2 linked regions of the Anolis sagrei genome follow. The protein of the gene in region 1 interacts with the protein of each later gene in a pairwise test. Links are inferred from orthologs where the notes say so. Each region holds a gene or a part of one and is shown on either strand. Other genes may lie near its edges.

The links. The genes of interacting proteins can lie anywhere in the genome.
Region 2: the proteins of NR1H2 (region 1) and NPY interact in a two-hybrid assay, tested with the Homo sapiens proteins (3 studies listed by BioGRID and IntAct). The link is inferred for Anolis sagrei from reciprocal best matches to the Homo sapiens genes NR1H2 and NPY.

The regions. Positions count from the first base shown.
Region 1 is NC_090026.1:28,207,716-28,218,100, forward strand, and holds the start of NR1H2 (oxysterols receptor LXR-beta), read right to left. Parts: upstream 4,590-10,385; 5' UTR 4,467-4,589; intron 815-4,466; 5' UTR 697-814; intron 1-696. UniProt on the Homo sapiens protein: Nuclear receptor that exhibits a ligand-dependent transcriptional activation activity. Binds preferentially to double-stranded oligonucleotide direct repeats having the consensus half-site sequence 5'-AGGTCA-3' and 4-nt spacing (DR-4).
Region 2 is NC_090026.1:92,762,532-92,772,750, forward strand, and holds the start of NPY (pro-neuropeptide Y), read right to left. Parts: upstream 4,169-10,219; 5' UTR 4,032-4,168; intron 503-4,031; coding exon 315-502; intron 1-314. UniProt on the Homo sapiens protein: NPY is implicated in the control of feeding and in secretion of gonadotrophin-release hormone.

The DNA.
Region 1 (10,385 bases):
AAATTACCATCTGCCAGCTGCAAAAGGCCACCTTACTGGGATCTGCATGTATTATTCACCGATACATCACACAGTCCTAGACACTTGGGAAGTGTCTGACATGTGATTCAACACAACAGCCAGCAAAGTGATCTTGCCTTGTTGTGTTTTAAATAATAATATCGTTCATACTTGAGTATAAGCCAGCACGGATATAAGCTGAGATACATTTTATCACAGAAAATTGGGAAAACATATTGACTCGAGTATAAGCCGAGGGTGGGAAACGCAGAAGCTACTGGTAAATTTCAAAGTGAAAATAGATAAGCACAATGGTAAATTTGGGACTGGTTTTAGTGGCCAAACAGATAGACCTATAGCCTTATTTGTTTTAGCATGGGATTATAGCTGGTGATTGCCCTCATTTCCCCAGGTCACTAGGGCATCTTTGTTGAGGTCAGCAAAGCATTGGCAATGAACAGGGGCTCTCCAAAGTGCCGTCACCAGCTTTCGCAGTGGCAAAGGACAACCCAGGTGAGTTCCATTCCCTTTCCCTTGCCCCACAGAGCTCTCTCTTTTCCTTCTCCCTATTACCCCTTCCCTACATGTTTTTCCATTGCCCCTTTTTTATACACCGCTTCTCCCGCCTCCGCTTTTTGATCAATTAATTTGGTGAAAATGTAGAAGAAAGGCAATTCTCCTCAAATACCGTCTCACCTTTCTCCCCACCGTGGGGAAGAGACGCAGCTAGTTGACAATCACATCACAAGATTTATGGGGCAGAGGAAGTAACATGGCAGTGTAGCAGGCGTGCAAACTATGTACAGGATACAACCTGAAAGGGAGAGATGAGCCAATGTCAACAAATGGCACCCTGTTGTCTACTATATCATCAGGCTTTATACATATAATGGCTGGACACTAATCCCAGAAATAGGTGATATCAATTTCTTCAACATATTTAATGAGATTAAACTCCAATAAAAGTTTTTAAAAAATGAATAAATAAATAGCTATTTTTTAACTTGAGAGAACACCTCTGTAAGAATGTCTAGGTCTTCCGGCACAACTTGGAATGACCACAGTGTATGAGTTTTGGATTATGTGATTTTACAGTACTCGCTTATCCAACGTTCGCTCATCCAGCGTTCTGCCTTCCGCCCGGATCTACAGCTGTTTCAAAGCATTGCAATGTTTTGGTGCTAAATTTGTAAATACAGTAATTACTACATAACTTTACCGTATAGTGAACTTCTTTTTCTGTCAATTTGTTGTAAAACATGATGTTTTTGTGCTTAATTTGTAAAATCATAACTTCAATTGACGTTTAACAGGCCTTTCCTTAATCCCTCCTTACTATCCAACACCAGAGCCCCTGGTGGCGCAGTGGGTTAAACTCCTGAGCCAGCAGGACTGAAGACCGACAGGTCGCAGGTTTGAATCCAGGGAGAGGCGGATAAGCTCCCTCTATCAGCTCCAGCTCCTCATGCGGGGACATGAGAGAAGCCTCCCACAAGGATGATAAAAACATCAATTCATCCGGGCGTCCCCTGGGCAACGTCCTTGCAGACGGCCAATTCTCTCACACCAGAAGCGACTTGCAGTTTCTCAAGTCGCTCCTGACACAACAAAAAAAAATCCAACATTTTCGCTTATCCAACGTTCTGCTGGCCTGTTTATGTTGGATATGCGAGACTCTACTGCAATACTTATACTAGGATGTTTTTAATGCTTAAATGTTCTTTATGTCTCGTGTTTAATGGTTTTAGGCAAGCCCCCACACTGTCCTCCTTTTGGAAGGAACTGACAACCTGGATGATCCAGCAAGCTGTTGAGAACAACTAGTCCCTAGTCCCAGTCCTTAGGTTGCTAGATGGTACTCTGTTTAGCACTTCATCCACTTCCCCGGCCCTATGACACGTTGTTTGCATTAACCCTCAACCAGCCCTTTTCTACCCGATTATGTCTATTTTTGTACTCCAGGCCATTGCTATTGTTCAATCTCTCCTAATGAAGCCCGAATGAAGTTGGTTTTATATTTTTATTTTTAGTGTATTTTATCAGGTTTTTGTATTTTATGATTTTTTTGTTTGTTATTTTGTTTATTAAGTTATAGCTGGTTGTTCTATGTTGTCTAATTTGCTTTGTCTTGTAAATTGTTTGTATGGTTTTCCTTTTGGCGCTGAATGTTTGCCATATTTGTTGAAAACTGCCCTGTGTCCCTTCGGGGAGATAGTACAGTCTATAAATAAAATTATTATTATTGTTATTATTATTATTATTGACACAAAAATGCAGTATGTCACAGCAAACAAGATATATATACTAGATTTCATTATTATTATTATTATTAAATTATTTTAAATTTAAAGTTATATGTTGGTGTTTGGTTATTATGATTTTTTTTTCTGTCTACATGTATTGAGTCGCCCCCCCTCCCCCCGGATGAGAAAGGTGGCATATAAATCTATATAAATAAAAATGTAATGTTCGTTTGTGGGATTAACAGAACTCAAAAACCACTGGACGAATTGACACCAAATTTGGACACAAGACACCTAACAACCCAATGTATGTCCTTCACTCATAAAAACACAGCAGAAGGGACTTAAAAAGCCCCAAAAAGCTAAATGACAGTAAAAAAGGGAAGAAAGAGGGAGGGAAGGGGGGAAAAAAAGAAAGAAAGAAAAAGGAAGAAGGAGGGAAAGAAAGAAGGAAAGGGAGAAGGAATCATGGAAGCAAAGAGAAGGAAGGAAAGAGGTAGAGAAGGAAGAAAGGAGAGAAAGGGGGAGGGAAAGAAAAAGGGAGGAGGAAGGAAAGTTAGAGAAAGAAGGAAGGAGAGAAGGAAAGATAAAAGGGAAAGAAGGAAGAAAAGAGGGAGCGAAAGAAGGGGGGAAGATGTAGAGAAAGAGGGAGGGAAGGAAAGAAGGAAAGAGAGAAGGAAGAAAAGAGAGACAGCAGAAGAGAAAGAAAAAGGGGTAAGGAAGGAAAGAGATAGAGAAGGAAGGAAGAAGAAAAGGAAAGACAGGAAGGAAGGAAGGAAGGAAGGAAGGAAGGAAGGAAGGAAAGAGGGAGTGAAGGAAGGAGGGAAAGAAGGAGAGAAAGAGGGAAGGTTGGCCACAGCAACGTGTAGCGGGTACAGCTAGTATCTATATAAATAAAAATGTAATGTTCGTTTGTGAGATTAACAGAACTCAAAAACCACTGGACGAATTGACACCAAATTTGGACACAAGACACCTAACAACCCAATGTATGTCCTTCACTCAAAAAAATGGATTTTGTCATTTGGGAGTTGTAGTTGCAGAGATTTATAGTTCACCTACAATCAAAGAGCATTCTGAACCCTACCAACGATGGAATTGAACCAAACTTGGCACACACAACTCCTATGACTAACAGAAAATACTCAAAGGATTTGGTGGGCAGTGTCTTTTGGTTTTGGAGTTGTAGTTCACCGACATCCAGAGATCACTGTGGACTCAAACAATGATGAATCTGGACCAACCTCTACATGAATACTTAATATGTCCAAATGTGAACACTGGTAGAGTTTGGGGAAAATAGAATCTTGACATTCGGGAGTTGTAGTTGCTGGGATTTATAGTTCACCTTCGGAAGCTTTCGGAAGCTCTAGGTGCTCTTACTGCCTATTACAGGGAAAACCAGCTGATCCCTAACCCATCTAAAACACAGACATGTGCCTTTCATCTCAAGAACAGACAAGCATCCCGAGCTTTGAGGATCACCTGGGAATGAATCCCACTGGAGCTACCGGCTGTTAGGAATTGTGGGCGTTGAAGTCCAAAACACCTGGAGTGTAGAGGCTTCATCCAAGTGCATATCCCTCTCCAAAGCTGTCTTTAGACCAAACATGGGCAAATTTGGGCCCTCTGGAAGTTTTGGACTCCAACTCCCACAATTCCTAACAGCCGGTAGGAATTGCTGCCAGGGCCCTTCCAGACAGGCCCTGTATCCCAGGATCTGATTCCAGTTTTTCTGCTTTAAACCGGATTACATTAGTTCACACTGCCAGATAACAGCCGGTAGGCTGTTAGGAATTGTGGGAACCGGCTGTTAGGAATTGTGGGAGTTGGAGTCCAAAACTTCCAGAGGGCCCAAGTTTGCCCAGACTAGATTGACACTTGAAACTGCTATGTCCCAACGCGATGGAATTCTGGGATTTTGTAATTCTGGCGAACTACAAATCCCATTAAGCCATGGCAGTCAAAGAGGGGACAAACTGCATTATTTCTACAGTGTTTGGGATCCCCAAAAGGCTGCAAATCAAGGGGGAGATGGCGATCCTCCTCGGGTGTTTTTGTATTATTATTATTATTATTATTATTATTATTATTATTGTGGGGGTGGGCATAAAATACCCACTTTTGGGGGGAGATCAGCCTGTAAAGATCTCGGATCCCACAGATCGGATCCCTTCCCTTTTCCTGCTCCCGCCACCTCTGTTTACCTTTCCTCTTGTTTACCTGTTTCCTCTGCAACTTGCATCAAAAAAGTGAAAACACGGTCATCCTCGCATTCAGGAGCCAGTCGCTTCCGGGAACCCTTTGCCAGGCGTCACTTCCCTTTCCAGCCCGGGAAAAACCTCCCCTTCGTCGCCGGCGCCTCCCCGGGTTGGCGTCGCTGGCGGCCGCGCGTCTACACTGCAGAGCCAACGCAGATTAGCACCGCTTGAACGGCCCTGGCTCAGTGGATCCTGGGAGTTGTAGTTTGGCCAGGCATCAGCACTCTTTGGCAGAGGGAGGGGTGATAGTCTAAAGGCCTTTAGAAAATGACATCTCCTTGGATTCGCCATAGCAACTCAAGCGGTGTTAAACTGAATTAAGTCAACAGTGTGGATGCACCCTGGGAGTTGTAGTTTGGCCAGGCATTAGCACTCTTTGAGAGAGGAGTCTAAAGGCCTTTGGAAAACGATATCTCCTTGGATTCGCCATAGCAGTTCAAGCGGTGTCAAACTGAATTAAGACAACAGTGTGGATGCACCCTGGGAGTTGTAGTTTGCCGAGGCAACGTAACTCTTGCAGAGAGGTCTAAAGGCCTTTGGAAAACTCCAACTCGCTGGATTCTCCATAGCAGTTCAAGCGGTGTCAAACTGAATTAAGTCAATAGTGTGGATGCACCCTGGGAGTTGTAGTTTGGCGAGGTATTGGCACTCTTTGGCAGAAGGAAGGGTGATAGTCTAAAGGCCTTTGGGGAACGACATCTCCTTGGATTCGCCATAGCAGCTCCAGCGGTATCAAACTGAATTAAGTCAACAGTGTGGATGCACCCTGGGAGTTGTAGTTTGGCGGGGCATTGGCACTCTTTGGCAGAGGGAGGTCTAAAGCCCTTGGGAAAACTCCAACTCGCTGTATTCGCCATAGTAGTAGTCAAACTGAATTAAGTCAACAGTGTGGATGCACCCCCTTAAAGACCAACGACAGCGGTTTGGGCACCATTGGGATATAATGCAGTTTGGAACTGCATTTTACTGCCAGGGCCCTTCTAGACAGGCCCTGTATCCCAGGATCTGATTCCAGGTTTTCTGCTTTAACCTGGATTATATTAGTCCACACTGTCAGATAATCTTTAAAAGTGCATTATATGGCAGTATAGATGGGGTCAGAGATCACCAAAATACACAACTCCCAGGATAAGGATGCATTTAGCCATAATGGTTAAAGTGGTGTCAAGCTGCATTAAATTCTACAGTGCAGATGCATCCAAAGTGATAGCCCCTAAGGTCCTTTCTACACTGCTATATAATCCAGTTCAAAGATAATCTGGATTTTATATGGCAATGTAGAAGGAGCCTGAACTATATCCTACACGGTGTTGTTGGCTGTCTCCTATCCAAATACTAACCAGGGCTGACCCTGCTTAGCTGCCAAGATCAGAGGACATCAGAGACCTTTGTGCCATTGACCCCCACTTTCTAGGTCTCTAGGTGTTTGTTTTTTTGGACTTCAACTCCCATAAGCCCCAGCCAGCTTGGCCAAGGGCTAGGAATTCTGGGGGATGAAGTCCAAAACATTGGGAAGACCAGTGTTTGAAAAACACTGCATTTGGAGGAAGTGGCCCATGAATGCTCAGCTTCACACTGCCCTTGAGTGCATCTACATTGTGGAATTAATGCAGCTTGACACCACTTGGCTTAATGGTATGGAATCATGGGGGTTGCAGGTTATTTATTTATTTTCTGACATTTATATGCCGCCCTTCTCACCCCAAAGGGAACTCAGAGCGGCTTACAAGTTATATGTAAATACAATATATTATATTATTAGCATAGAACAATATTATTAACATACATTCCCATATTGTACTATACCAGTATACTGTAACATTATTAGTAATATAACATGTAATATTAAATATATAATAATTATAATTATAATATTAAATATATAATATTATAATATTAAATATATAATTATAATATATTAATATTATTAGTATTAGTATCAATATTATATGTTGTATACAATATATTAATTTGCCTCTATTGTACTATATATTAATTTATTGTACTATATATTAATTTATATTGTACAATATATTAATTTGCCTCTATTGTACTATACCAGTAACATTATTAGTAATATTACATGTAATATTAAATATATAATTATTATAATTATAATGTTAAATATATAAAATTATAATATTAAATATATAATTATTATAATTATAATATATTATTAATATCAGTATCAGTATTATATGTGTATACAATTTATTAATTTACCTCTATTGTACTATATATTAATTTATTGTACTATATATTAATTTATATTGTACAATATATTAATTTGCCTCTATTGTACTATACCAGTAACATTATTAGTAATATTACATGTAATATATATATATATATATATATATTATTTGTATACCGCTGTTCTCAGCCCTTAGGCGACTCACAACGGTTAACAACAAAAACAGCAAAAATTCAATGCTACCATCACACGGTATAAAAAACAGTTAACATCATAACATATTATAGAAAAGTATACAATTAACAACAGTATACAATTAACACCAATAGCCATTCACTAGCGTCTCATCACTAAAAACATGATCCAGATCCGTTATCCATTGTTCCATTCCTATGTTCATTACATTCATTGCACTGACTATTTTGCTTATAATATTAAATATATAATATTATAATATTATAATCAGAGTGGCTTACAAGTTATATGTAAATACAATATATTATATTATATTATTAGCATAGTGCAATATTAGTAACATACATTCCCATATTGTACTATACCAGTACACTGTAATATTATTAGTAATATTACATGTAATATTAAATATAGAATTATTATAATTATAATATTAAATATATAATATTATAATAATATATTATAATCTATTTTTATATATTATATATGTAATTCTTATAATTATAATATTATATATATAATAGTATAATATTATAATCAGAGCTGCTTACAAGTTATATGTAAATACAATATATTATATTATTAGCTTAGCACAATATTAGTAACATACATTCCCATATTGTACTATACCAGTACCGTGGAGGCCGTGACAGACTTTGTATTTCTAGGTGCAAAGATTACTGCAGACGCAGACTGTAGCCAGGAAATCAGAAGACGCTTACTTCTTGGGAGGAGAGCAATGTTCAGTCTCGATAAAATAGTGAAGAGTAGAGACATCAGACTGGCAACAAAGATCCGCCTACTCAAAGCCATGGTATTCCCTGTAGTAACCTACGGATGTGAGAGCTGGACCTTAGGGAAGGCTGAGCGAAGGAAGATCGATGCTTTTGAGCTGTGGTGTTGGAGGAAAGTGCTGAGAGTCCCTTGGACTGCGAGAAGATCCAACCAGTTCATCCTCCAGGAAATAAAGCCTGACTGCTCACTGGAGGGAAAGATACTAGAGACAAAGTTGAAGTACTTTGGCCACATCATGAGGAGACAGGAAAGCCTAGAGAAGACAATGATGCTGGGGAAAGTGGAAGGCAAAAGGAAGAGGGGCCGACCAAGGGCAAGATGGATGGATGGCATCCTTGAAGTGACTGGACTGACCTTGAGGGAGCTGGGGGTGGTAACGGCCGACAGGGAGATCTGGCGTAGGCTGGTCCATGAGGTCACGAAGAGTCGGAGACGACTGAACGAATGAACAACAACAACAACAACTATACCAGTATACTGTAACATTATTAGTAATAATACATGTAATATTAAATATATAATTATTATATTGTATTATTATTAGTATTAGTATTATTAGTATTAATATTATATGTGTATACAATATATTTATTTGCCTCTATGGCAAAATAAAGATCTTGTAAAACTATAACTCACACAATCCCTTCTCATTGGGCAAAAGAAGTGTCAATCTGCATTCTTTCAATAGGGTTGATCCAGTTTAATAACACAGGGGCGGGGCCTAATCGAAGCCACGCCCCTTTATTCCCCCTCCGACGAAGGAGGAAATGAAACTGCCGCCGGCAGCAGAGAGTGAGTGACGCATGCGCAGACGTGACATTGGAGTTTCGAATTTCTTTGGAGGAGTTTTAAAAGTTTCAGGTGAGTCGCTGTGATTCTTTCCTGGTTGGGGACTAACTAGGATTGAAAGAGGAGAGTGAAGACTGGTCTGTAAAATGATGGGAATCTAATTTCATCCATTCATCATCCCCAAAAGGGTGAGTTTTTTGGAGTTAGAGGGAGACATCCTTGGAAAAGTAAATGAATGGGAAAATATAGAGAGAGTAAAAAAGGGTGAAAGTAGTAATCCAGGGGATATAGCCCAGGTATGGGCAAACTTGGGCCCTCCAGGTGTTTTGGACTTCAACTCCCACAATTCCTAACAGCCGGTAGGCTGTTAGGAATTGTGGGAGTTGAAGTCCAAAACACCTGGAGGGCCCAAGTTTGCCCATACCTGGGCTATAGCCATGTATTTCTGTTTCACCTGTTTTTATCTGTATGCCATTTTTACCTGTATGTTATTTCCTGATCTTTGTAAAATGTGTTGGTTTTGTTACTGTAAAGGTTTGCCATTTTTGCGGCACAAATAACGTATTTACCTGGATTTTATTATTATGTAAATTTAAATATTTGCAACATGTTTACCTCGCCCTTCTCAACAACTGAGGGGGGGGGGGGACTCCGAGCGACTGACACTGGCAACAATTCGATGCCGCAATATCACAATATAAAACCATAAATACACAATAGATTAAAAACAATAACATTACTTATACAGTCATGTGGCCATTTGCATTATCATAACAATCATATGGTCCAGTTCAGTGTCCAAAGTGCCGTTGTGCCTGCTAGCCAAAAGCCTGGTTCTGAAACCACGATTTTAATTGTTTCCTGAAGGAAAGGAAGGAGGACGCTGATCTAATCTCGCTGGGGAGCGAATTCCACAAGTGAGGGGTCACCACCGAAAAGGCCCTGTTCCTCATCCCCACCAGACGCATTTGCGAGGCTGGTGGGACCGAGAGCAGGGCCTCCCCGGTGGATCTTAAACTATGGGGTGGAACGTAGAGGGAGATATGTTTGGACAAGTAAGCTGGGCCGGAGCCTTATAGGGCTTTATAGGCCAAGACCAACAATTTGAATTGTGCTCAGAACTTGACTGGCATATACTACCAATTACAGTGTTCTCTCACTACTTCGCAGTTCGTTTTTCACGTACTTGCTGTTTCACGGGTTTTTGCCTCCCAATTTATGAATGGTTTCTGTTGCCCAGAGCAGCGTTCTAATCCCGCCTTCTGGCAACAATGGAGTGTGGAAGGGAGTTTCACCCTTCTCTCTCTCTCTCGAGAGAGAGGCAGTCAATCAAGAGAGATTGCAACTAAAGCAGAGATAGCTAGCAAAAAAAAGAGGTGCGTGGTACTTTTAAATCTCTCCTCGCTTCTACCTCACCCTCAGAATGTGATATACATATATAGCATCTCTACTTTACGGATTTTCACTTTTCACGAGTCGTTCTGGAATGTAACACCCGCAATAAGTGAGGGAACACTGTATACCAGTGTTGCCTGGCTAATGCGTTTTTGTTGTGGCTCTTTCTGTTCTTCCTCTGTTTCCTCCATACACTTCCCCACCCCACTTTTATTTCTTTCCTTCTTCTCATCTATATAAATAAAAATGTAATGTTTGTTTGTGGGATTAACATAACTCAAAAACTACTGGACCAATTGACACTAAATTTGGACACAATCAGGCCAACGAGTGACTGTCACACATAAAAATACTGAAAAACACAGTAGAAGGGACTTAAAAAGCTAAAAATTAAAAAAAAAATTACAATGCATGCACAAATCCACATGTATACACACACACACACACATATACACAAACTGGGCCATAGCAACACGTGGCATAGGACGGCTAGTGCTTTCATAAGTACACACC
Region 2 (10,219 bases), about 65 Mb from region 1:
GTTTTAAGGCACACATTGAGTAAGAAAAAAATATCTCCTTATATCAACCTAGAGATTTCTAGTTGTTTTGGTCTACAGCTCCCTTCATTCCTGACATTTGAACAGGCTGGGAACTGTGGGTGTAAATTATTACTCAAAACAACTGGAGCAACGCCCCTTGCATGCAAGAATCTCTGTGAGCTGCAAATGTTACTTCCAGGAGTATAATTTTAAGATATTTCCCAAGGGGCATGGTCATTTGTGAATCCTGTGAGCAATTTTCTCTAGTGTTGTACCTTCCCTCTTACCACACAGGTTAAGGTTGTGGTACCTACCTCTGCCGTGTGATGAGGTTGATGTAGTGCCTCAGAGCCGAGTAATATCTGGCCATATCTTCTGCTGGGGCATCCTCACCTGGACTGTCCGGTTTGGATGGATATGCTTCTGCCAGTGACCCCAGGCAGATCAGCAGGCACAAGGCAAGGGTCATCATTGACAGCCACAACCGCATGGTCCCCTGCATCTGGAAGACACCAGGAAAGGATACAAGAGGGAGGGCAAGAGAGCATGGCATGAAAAAATTCAAGCAACTCTTTACTTTTTGATGGGTAGAGAGCCAGTGTGATGGAGTGGTTTGCGTGTTCGACTACAACTCTTGAAAATCAGGGCTTCAATCCTCACTTGCCCATTGAACCCCACTGCGTAACCATAGGCAAGTCACACCGACTCAATCCCAAGGAAAGGCAAATGTAAACCCTCTCTGAACAAATTCTGCCAAGAAAACTCTGTGATAGGTTTGCTTTTGGGTCATCCTATGTCAGAAATACAGGGGCTATAGTAGAACAGCAGGTTAAACTGTTAAGCTGCAGAACATGCTGACCGGAAGGTTGGTGGTTTGAATCTGCAAGACAGGGTGAGCTCCCATCATTAGCCTCAGCTTCTGCCAACCTAGCAGTTTGAAAACATGCAAATGTGAGTAAATCATTAGGTACCACTTTGGCGGGAAGGTAACAGCACTCCATCCAGTCATGCCGGCCACATGACCTAGGAGGCATCTATGGACAACGCCGGCTCATCAGCTTAAAAATGGAGATGGGCATCACCCCCAAGTCTGACTCAACTAGACTTAATGTCAAGGAGAAACCTTTACCTTTACCTTATGTCATAAATGTCTTGAAAGCATAGAGAGGCAGCAAAACTATGACTACCAGTCCTTTGCTTTCAGGTAAGCTCTTTCAAATTAAAAAATAATTGTCAGTGGAGTAACTGCTTTTCTTGAGGTTTTAATTTGAGCTTTAAATGAACTGTCCAAGTTGTGGAATCCTGTCCCTGAAACTAAATCAGCAAAGAACAACAAATATTTCAGAAAAATCCTGCATACAATCTCTCATAAAAATGGATTTAGTTAGCTTTCTCCATTGGAGGGTGGGAAGCACTTCTTAAATATGGTTTGTATGAAAGTTTATTATCATTTCTACTAATAATAATATAATGTATTTATATTCTGTCCTATCTTCCTGAGGGGACTCAGGACGGATTACAGTACACATATACAACAAACATCCAGTGCCGTTATACAATGAACAAAGACAGACAGTACATAAACAGAGGGAAAGGCTTCACATCTTTTTCCATCTCTGGCATCTGGAGGCTGTACTACCTGGCTTAGACCATAATAACTTACCATAAAGAAATGTAAAACCCTAGTGAACTTGTACATTTCTGCTTTGAAGATGGAAGCATTCTGCTTAAAGTCTTTCATGGCATAAAAGAAGGGGAAGAAATGTGGAAAAGGAGAAAATTGTATCAATTCTGATTTATTTTGACATGGATTTTTAGGATCCTAATTCACTTCCTTGGGTGCACTGATGGTGTACAATTTTCAAGCTCAATGTACATATACACAATATAATAGTTCTGGAAGTGTGGAATTAAGAATAAAATAAGAATACCAAAAATTCACAATATATACATGAAACCAGCTTGGCACAGTGGTTTGAGTGTTGGACTACAACTCTGGAATACGAGGGCTCAATACACCATTCAGCCATGGAAATCCACTGGTGAATTTATGCACGTCACACTGTCTCAGACTAAAAGGAAGGCAATGCCAACCCTTCACTGAACAAATTTTAGCTAAGTAAACCCCATGATAAATTTACGCTATTGTAATTGCTGTAAACCATGAAGCCATTTCCAATACTTGGCAACATTTGTTCAGAAGTGGTTTGCCATTATCTTCCTCCAAGGCTGAGAGAGTGTGACTTGCCCAAAGTCACCCAATGGGCTTCATGGCTCAATGGGCATTTGAGCCATAAACCAACACCTAAACTACTACACCACACTGGTCCCAGTTGCCATAAATTGGACATGGCTTGAAGGCGCACCACCACAACAATAAGCTGGAGATAACACTGACTTAGCAGAAACGTTATGGATCTGTAAACAAATGCACAGACTTGCGAGAATTCTTAGAGTTAAAAAGCAATACTTTGCTTTCAGGAAAGTTTTGGTTCTGCAGAAGTCGCAATCTTGTGTTGATGATGGTTGTTTCCACAAATGTAATTAAAACCAGTCTATTAATATATGTATGTATTGTGAAAACAAGCCATTGTTTCTGACTCTGATAATAGATTGACATTTGTCCTTATTCCCCCAGTTTGTGTTCCTTTCCAATCTCTCCTTGAAATTCTCCTCTTGATCACTTTGGCTCAGTTAAGGACTGACAGTTGTTGCTTAGCAAGGTCCTTCTCAAGCAAGTCAGTAACTCAGCCAGGAATCATTTGAAAACGCGCACCTAAAATCTCATGCTAGAATAAACCACTGTGCTGGATATACTGATTACATGATTGCATCTTCCAAAAAGTTACAAGGTTTGTGAAGCAGGTGGACAATAGCTGTCTCAACAATGGGAAACTTCAGGGGGAAGACGATGAAGGTGAGAGAGGGAAGTGGTGGCAGTGGCGGGGGGGGGGGGGGGAGAGATTAAGAGTTAATAGGATTCATAGCAACGTTTTGTCACAGAGCGAGCATAATAATAATAATAACAACAATAATAATAACTTTTTTTGTACCTCGCCTCCATCTCCCTGAAGGGATTCGAGGCAGCTTACATATGACACAAAGTCCCTAAAAACAAGGCATAAAATAAATAAACTGCACAATACAAAAAGTAAAACCAATAGCATATAAAAACAACAAATTTATATCAAGGGCAGGGAAATAAAGGAAGGAAAGAGACGGAGAAGGATGGGAAGAAAGAAGAAGGAGAAAAAAAGGATGGCAAGAAAAAGAAAGAAGAGAAAAGGAAAGTGAGGGCAGGAGAAGAAAAGAGAGGAGAGCAGGAAATGAGAAAGGAGGAAAAGCGAACATAAGGAGAAGAAACAAGGAAAGAAATGAAAGAATGAAAAACAAAGAGAAGAAAAGGAACGGGGAGGAGATGGAAAAAGGGAGAGAAGGAGAAGAAAAGGAAGGAAGAGAAAAAAGGAGGAAAGGGAACAGAAGAGAAAAAAGGAAGGAAGAAGAAAGAGAAGAAGAAAATAAGGAGGGACAGGAAGAAGATGAAAAAGGAGGAAAAGAGAACAGAAGTGGAAGGAAAGAAGGAAGGAAAAAAGAAAAAGAGAACAGAATAAGAAAGGATAAGAAGGAGATAAAAAGGAAAAAGAAAGGAAGGAGATGAAAAAGGAGGAAAAGAGAACAGAAGAAGAAGGAAGGAAGGAAGGAAGGAAGGAAGGAAGGAAGGAAGGAAGGAAGGACGGAAGGAGAGGGATGGAAGGAAGGAAGGGGAGGAAAGAAAGAAGAAAGAGGAAGGAAGGAAGGAGAATAATAAGGGGAAACAATGAGAAAAGGAGGAGGAACGGAAGGATGGGAGAGAAAGAAAGAAGGAATGAGAAGAGAAGAGAAGAGAAGAGAAGAGAAGAGAAGAGAAGAGAAGAGAAGAGAAGAGAAGAGAAGAGAAGAGAAGAGAAGAGAAGAGAAGAGAAGAGAAGAGAAAGGGAACGCAAGGGGAAAGCCTGGCCAAGCGGGAGGAGGCGCGCTCCGGTGCTGTTCACCTTCTTCCTGTGTGCCTGCGCCTCTGCCTTCTCCCGTGACTCTGGATCCCGACTGGAACTCCTTCCTTGCTCCTTGGCGATCCCGGCTGCGACTCGGCTGGCGCTCTCCAGTGCGGGGCCGGGCGCCTGGGCGAGGTGTTTTATGGCTTTCCCAGGAGGCGGGAGGGGCTCGGGGCGATCACGCTCCGGTCGCTCTCCCACAGCCCCCCCCCTCCCTGCCCCCCTCCCCCTCCTCACGCGCGCCCCGCCCGCGCCTGGCCCACCATTGGCATCATCACCACCATCATCATCGGCGTGGAAAAGGGAGGGAGAGAGGGTGGGGGCTTGGTGGGCCCCCTCCGGCCGCCAGACGCCTTAATCCCCTCGCAGACTCGGCGAAGAAGTGCGCTTGAGAACATTCCGGCACTCTTCCCACCCGCAACTACCCAAAGCCTCCAAGATAAACTTTAGTGGCGGGTTGAATCTCTCTGAGAAGTGCTTGAGATTATAGTAGACTTTCCATTAACTGGCAACCATGGGGTAGATAGATGCCAGATCAATGTTTCTGGTTGCTTAAGAGTTATTATTAAAATAGACCTAATTAATACTATATTCCAGGCAGGGGCAAACTTTGGCCCTCCAGGTATTTTGGACTTCAACTCCCACAATTCCTAACAGCTTCTTCTTCTCATCCTTTCAGTCATGCACCTTCCCTGCTTTTCTTCCCCCCCCCCCACCACCACACACACTTTAGTTCCTTACTTACTTACTTCCATCCATCCATCCATCCCTTCCCTCCTTCCCTCCCTCCCTCTCTCTCTCTCTCTCTCCTTGTCTCCCTCTCTTTGTTTTCTGTCATTCTTGACCTCCTCCTAGTCCTTTTCATGGCATGGTCATCGAAATGGCACCAAATCCTGGCCTTTTCAAAGCAAGACACCTACACAAACCCCTTCCAAAATACAAATCTTCATGAAATGGCTTACTTCCTTATAGAGTGGATGTCCTAAGTGTGGCTTTCATGGCCATAACCACCATTGTTTTAATGTATTGCTGAAGGCTTTCATGGCCAGAATCACTGAGTTGTTGTAGGTTTTTCAGGCTGTATGGCCATGTTCTAGAAACATTCTCCCCTGACGTTTTGCCTGCATCTATGGCAGAGGTTGTGAGGACCTCACGACCTCTGAGGATGCCTGCCATAGATGCAGGCAAAACATCAGGAGGTAATGCTTCTAGAACATGGCCATACAGCCCAAAAAACCTACAACAACCCATTATTTTAATGTTTGGGTCCTTTACCCCAAAATGGAGAAGATTTTGTAGTTTATACCCTGCCATGATCTGAAGTTGGGTAATGAAGGGTGTGTGTGCCAGGTTTGGTCCAGATCCAACAAGCCATGATGGAGCCTTTGTGGTACAAGCAAACCAACCAACAAGCATATATACAGTAGAGTCTCACTTATCCAACACAATAAATGGACCAGCAGAACGTTGGATAAGCAAAAATGTTGAATAAGGAGGAATTAAGGAAAAGCGTAGTAAATGTCAAATTTTTGTGTTGTTTATTCATTCAGTCTTCATGACCTCTTGGACCAGCCCACACCAGAGCTCCCTGTTGGCCCTTAGTCAGCCCCTCTTTCTTTTTCCTTCCATTTTCCCCAACATCATTGTCTTCTCCAAGCTTTCCTGTCTTCTCATGATGTGGCCAAAGTACTTCATCTTGGCCTCTAATATCCTTCCCTCCAGTGAGCAGCCGGCTTTACTTCCCGGAGTATGGACTGGTTTGATCTTCTTGCGGTCCAAGGCACTCTCAGAATTTTCCTCCATCACCACAGTTCAAAAGCATCTATCTTCCTTCGCTCAGCCTTCCTTTTGGTCCAGCTCTCACATCCATAGGTTACTATAGGGAATTCCATTGCTTTAACTATGTGGATCTTTGTTGCCAGTGTGATGTCCCTACTCTTCACTATTTTATTGAAATTGGTCATTGCTCTCCTCCCAAAAAGGAATCATCAAATTACATTATGATTTTACAAATAATGCACCAAAATATCAAGTTTTAAAACAAAAAGACAGAAAAAACAGTTCAATACATGGTAATGTTATGTAGTAATTACTGTATTTATGAATTTAGCACCAAAACAGACAAGGGTTCTTTCTTTCTCCCACTCTGGACATTATTCCACAGGTAAATATATACACTCCACTTCCCTCACCTGTGGATCTGGGCAGGAGGCAGACTGAGTTGGATAATACAGAACATTGGATAAGTGAAGGTTGGATAAGTGAGGCTCTACTGTACTTTAGAGAGATAGAGAGATAGATATGTTTAATAATTTTCTGAATGACACAAAGTTTGTGTATCTTGAATCATCGGAAAGCAAAGGTGTCACTGTCTCTGTCATGCATGTGGCCAACTTTGGAGCACTTCAAATTTTAGAATTTGGGTTCAGTGATGCTCAGCCTGTCAACAAAAGCTTTTTCTCCATCTACCTTCTGACTAATAGAGGCACTTTAACTATATCCAAGCCTCCCGTGTCCCTAAATAGTCCTTTTGCTGCCGTCCTCAGGGGCTGTGGAAGATCGGAGTCACAAGTCAACACAGATGGACCATTCCAGGATTTTGTCCATTTCAGTTGGTCGATAAAAGTATCACTCTTTTTGCGAAGTTTGGATTTTGCTTTGTTCTGATCACTGAATGAAAAGAGAGTAGCAGCCATTGGGTTCCCTGGTCTACCCCCACCCCAAGTCTGAAATAAATTCCATCCCAGATCAAAAATAGCTGGCCGGCAGTATTTAAAAGGCAGAAAGCCAATCACAGACACACACACACATAGAGACACCGGTTGTAGACTTCAAAGGGAGAATAAATTCTGTCTTGACTTGCACCAAAGAGATTCAAATTCTATCTGGGACCTGACAGAAAGTATCTGGAGAGCCCCTCCCTTCGCCCCCCTTCGACTCCAACTTTGATCTTGAAACACAATTATTCCAAAGGAGCTCAGTCCTCATTGTAATCCTACAGAGTGGTGTGACAAATTACAAATCCGGAGACTGAATCCTGCTGAATAGGATCGAAAAAAAGGAAGCAGCAGCCCCACCAACGAAGGCAGGAAGACTTTGGCCTTCCATCTGAACCCTGAAACTCCACAAACCACTCTTCTGATGTAGAGATTAACTTCAAGACTGGCAGACAGATTTAATCTCTGCACCAGAAGAGTAGTATGTATATGCTTCTTTGCTTTAGGTATCATCAAGTTAATACCACCTATAATAATATAGTATTTGAACCAGACACTCAGGGACTTGTGCCAGAATTCACCCTTAGAAAACTGCAGTGAAGCTCAGATACCAGATGCACTCAAAAACCCCTATATGTTCAAGGTGCGGCAGGTAGACTGAAGAAATATAGCATTATATCAACATTATAAAATTGAATGAAAATTTTAGACTCTGGACTTAATGGTTTTATAAAGTCTATCTATGGTTTTATAGGGGCCATGGTAGCACAGCGGGTTAAACATCCAGCTGCAGAAAATCTTGCTGACCAGAAGGTTGGTAGTTCAAGCCATGGGTGGGGTGGTAGGCTCCTGCCGTTAGCCCTAGCTCCTGCCTACCTAGCAGTTCAAAAACAATAATGTGAGTAGATGAATAAGTACCGCTTTTACGGGGAGGTAAAAGGTGCCCATGCAGAGATGCCGGCAATTCGATAACGACGATGTCCACAGACAACAGACTCATCAGCATGGAAAATGGAACAAGAGCACCTCCCCATGGCTGGAGTCGAGCACAGCCTGCAGATGCCTGAGATGGAAAGAGAGAAACCTTTGCCTCTATTTATTTATTTATTTATTTATTTATTTATTTATTTATTTATGTACAGTATTTATCTTCCGCCCTTCTCACCCCACAGGGGACTCAGGGCAGATCACAATGCATATATACATGGCAAACATTCAATGCAATAGGCACACAAAATATATAAACAGACACACAGAGGTATTTACATTTTCAGCTTCATGAAGGTATGTTCAAATTTATTTATTTATTTATTTATTTACTTTATTTGTATACCGCTGTTCTCAGCCCATAGGCGACTCACAGCGGTTAACAACAAACAGCAAAATACAGTACACGGTAAAAAACAGTAACATCATAACACCTAAACGATCCTATATAACTAACAACAATAGCCATTCACTGGCGTCTCATCACTGAAAACATGATCCAAATCCGTCATCCATTGTTCCATTCCTATGTTCATTACACTCATTGCACTAACTATTCGAACGCCTGCTCGAACAACCAGGTCTTCACTTTTTTGCAGAATACCAATAATGATGGAGCTAGTCTAATATCTGTGGGAAGGGCGTTCCACAGCCGAGGGGCCACCACCGAGAAGGCCCTATCTCTCGTTCCCACCAGCCGTGCCTGTGAGGCAGGTGGGATCGAGAGCAGGGCCTCCCCGGAAGATCTCAAAGTCCTGGTGGGTTCATAGGCAGAGATGTGGTCGGATAGGTATCTTGGGCCGGCCACCGGGGGATCTGTCGCTTCACCGTCCATTTGTGACACCGATGGAGTACTTCCTCATTCTTTTGCATACTGCTGGAGATTTTTAAATTAGTTAAATTAGCCTCCCTGCATAAGTGGTACCTAAATTTCCTACTTCACAGATGCAACTGTCTTTCAGGCTGTATAGGTTAACAGCAAGCTAGTCAAATGGTCAGGAGCTTACTCCGTCCCGGGCTGGCTTTGAACTCTTGACCTTTCGGTCAGTAGTAATTTTAATGCAGCTGACTCCCAACCAGCTGTGCCACAACCCAGTCTAGGTACAGTCCATCTTTGTTGTTAATTGTATAATGGCATTCAACGTTTGCCATATATGTATTCTGTCATCCGCTTTAGGTCCCCTTGGAGAGATAGAGCAGAATATAAATAAAGTATATAAAATATATTATACCTAGAGTGGTATAAAATGCTGTGAATGTTAGTCTGCAATTCTGGGAGACCCACTTGGCCATAGAAAGCCTTGGATGGCCTTGGGCAACTTACACCTTCTCAGCCTCAGAGGAGGGCAATGGCAAAAAAAAAAAATCCTTGGCAAGAAACCCCCATGAAAGGTTTGTTTTAGGGTCACCATATATACAAATCAGGCTGGGGGTACATACAAAGAACAAGTGACAAGGGCACAACTTCTTTAGATGGCCATTTATTTCACTGCACTTCAAAAGAAGGTCTGCTACATTCGAGGCCCTTTTTGCTCATCCTCTGGAATTCTGTCTTCACAAACCACTGGCAATTTGTGAAGCATCCCTATATTATAGTATTCCCATTAATATTATTAATCGTAGTAAGTGCAGCAGCTTTATATTTATTTATATCCTACCTTTCCTCCCAAACCTGATACTCAAGGTGGCTTATGAACAAGGACATTTCGTAGCTAACACATACCGAAGATTTGATGTAGATTAATTAAACCATCAGTAACTTTAGAAACATAAAAAGGGAGCAAAAGCCATTTTAATTGTAAAAGCAATACAATTAAAAGGTCTTACTAGAGTTTAATTAACTTCTCCTGGCACAACTAATGTTCCCAAACCTGATAGAAACATCATTCAGCCATACTCTCATCATTGGCATAACAGCCCCTTTTCTCTTCATGCAGTTGATGCACTGGAAAGTAGATTGGAGCAAGTTACAACCATAGCTATAGTGTCAAAATTATGACTGAGGGCATGATCACATGTGTTATAGCACTATAGTGATACATTATTCCTGCCATTGCCCTATCGCACAACATCATTGCTCTCCAGGAATTACTGTATTGCTAGAACATTCCAAATGTTGGGGGAATTTGTTATGCAAACAATCTATTAATGATCCCCTTTTCTTGTTACAAATCTGTAACAGTTTTGGGTGTGGATTTCCCATAGTGGGAAGGCCCTCAGACATGACAGGACTGCCTTACCACATTTCTTCCATTAATGAGCCATTAGTGGGCGTGGTGTGTGTGTAGTGAGGTTGTCTTTTACTCAAGGATGCTGAGATCACTTTCAAAACAGTAACAATTTTGAAACAGTTACCTAACCATTTCAGAACCTAGGAGAAGCCACCAAGGATGCACCTACACTGTAGTATTGACACGACTTTAACTGCCATGGCTCATTGCTATGGAATCATGGAAGTTGCACTTTTGCAAGATCTTTGGCCTT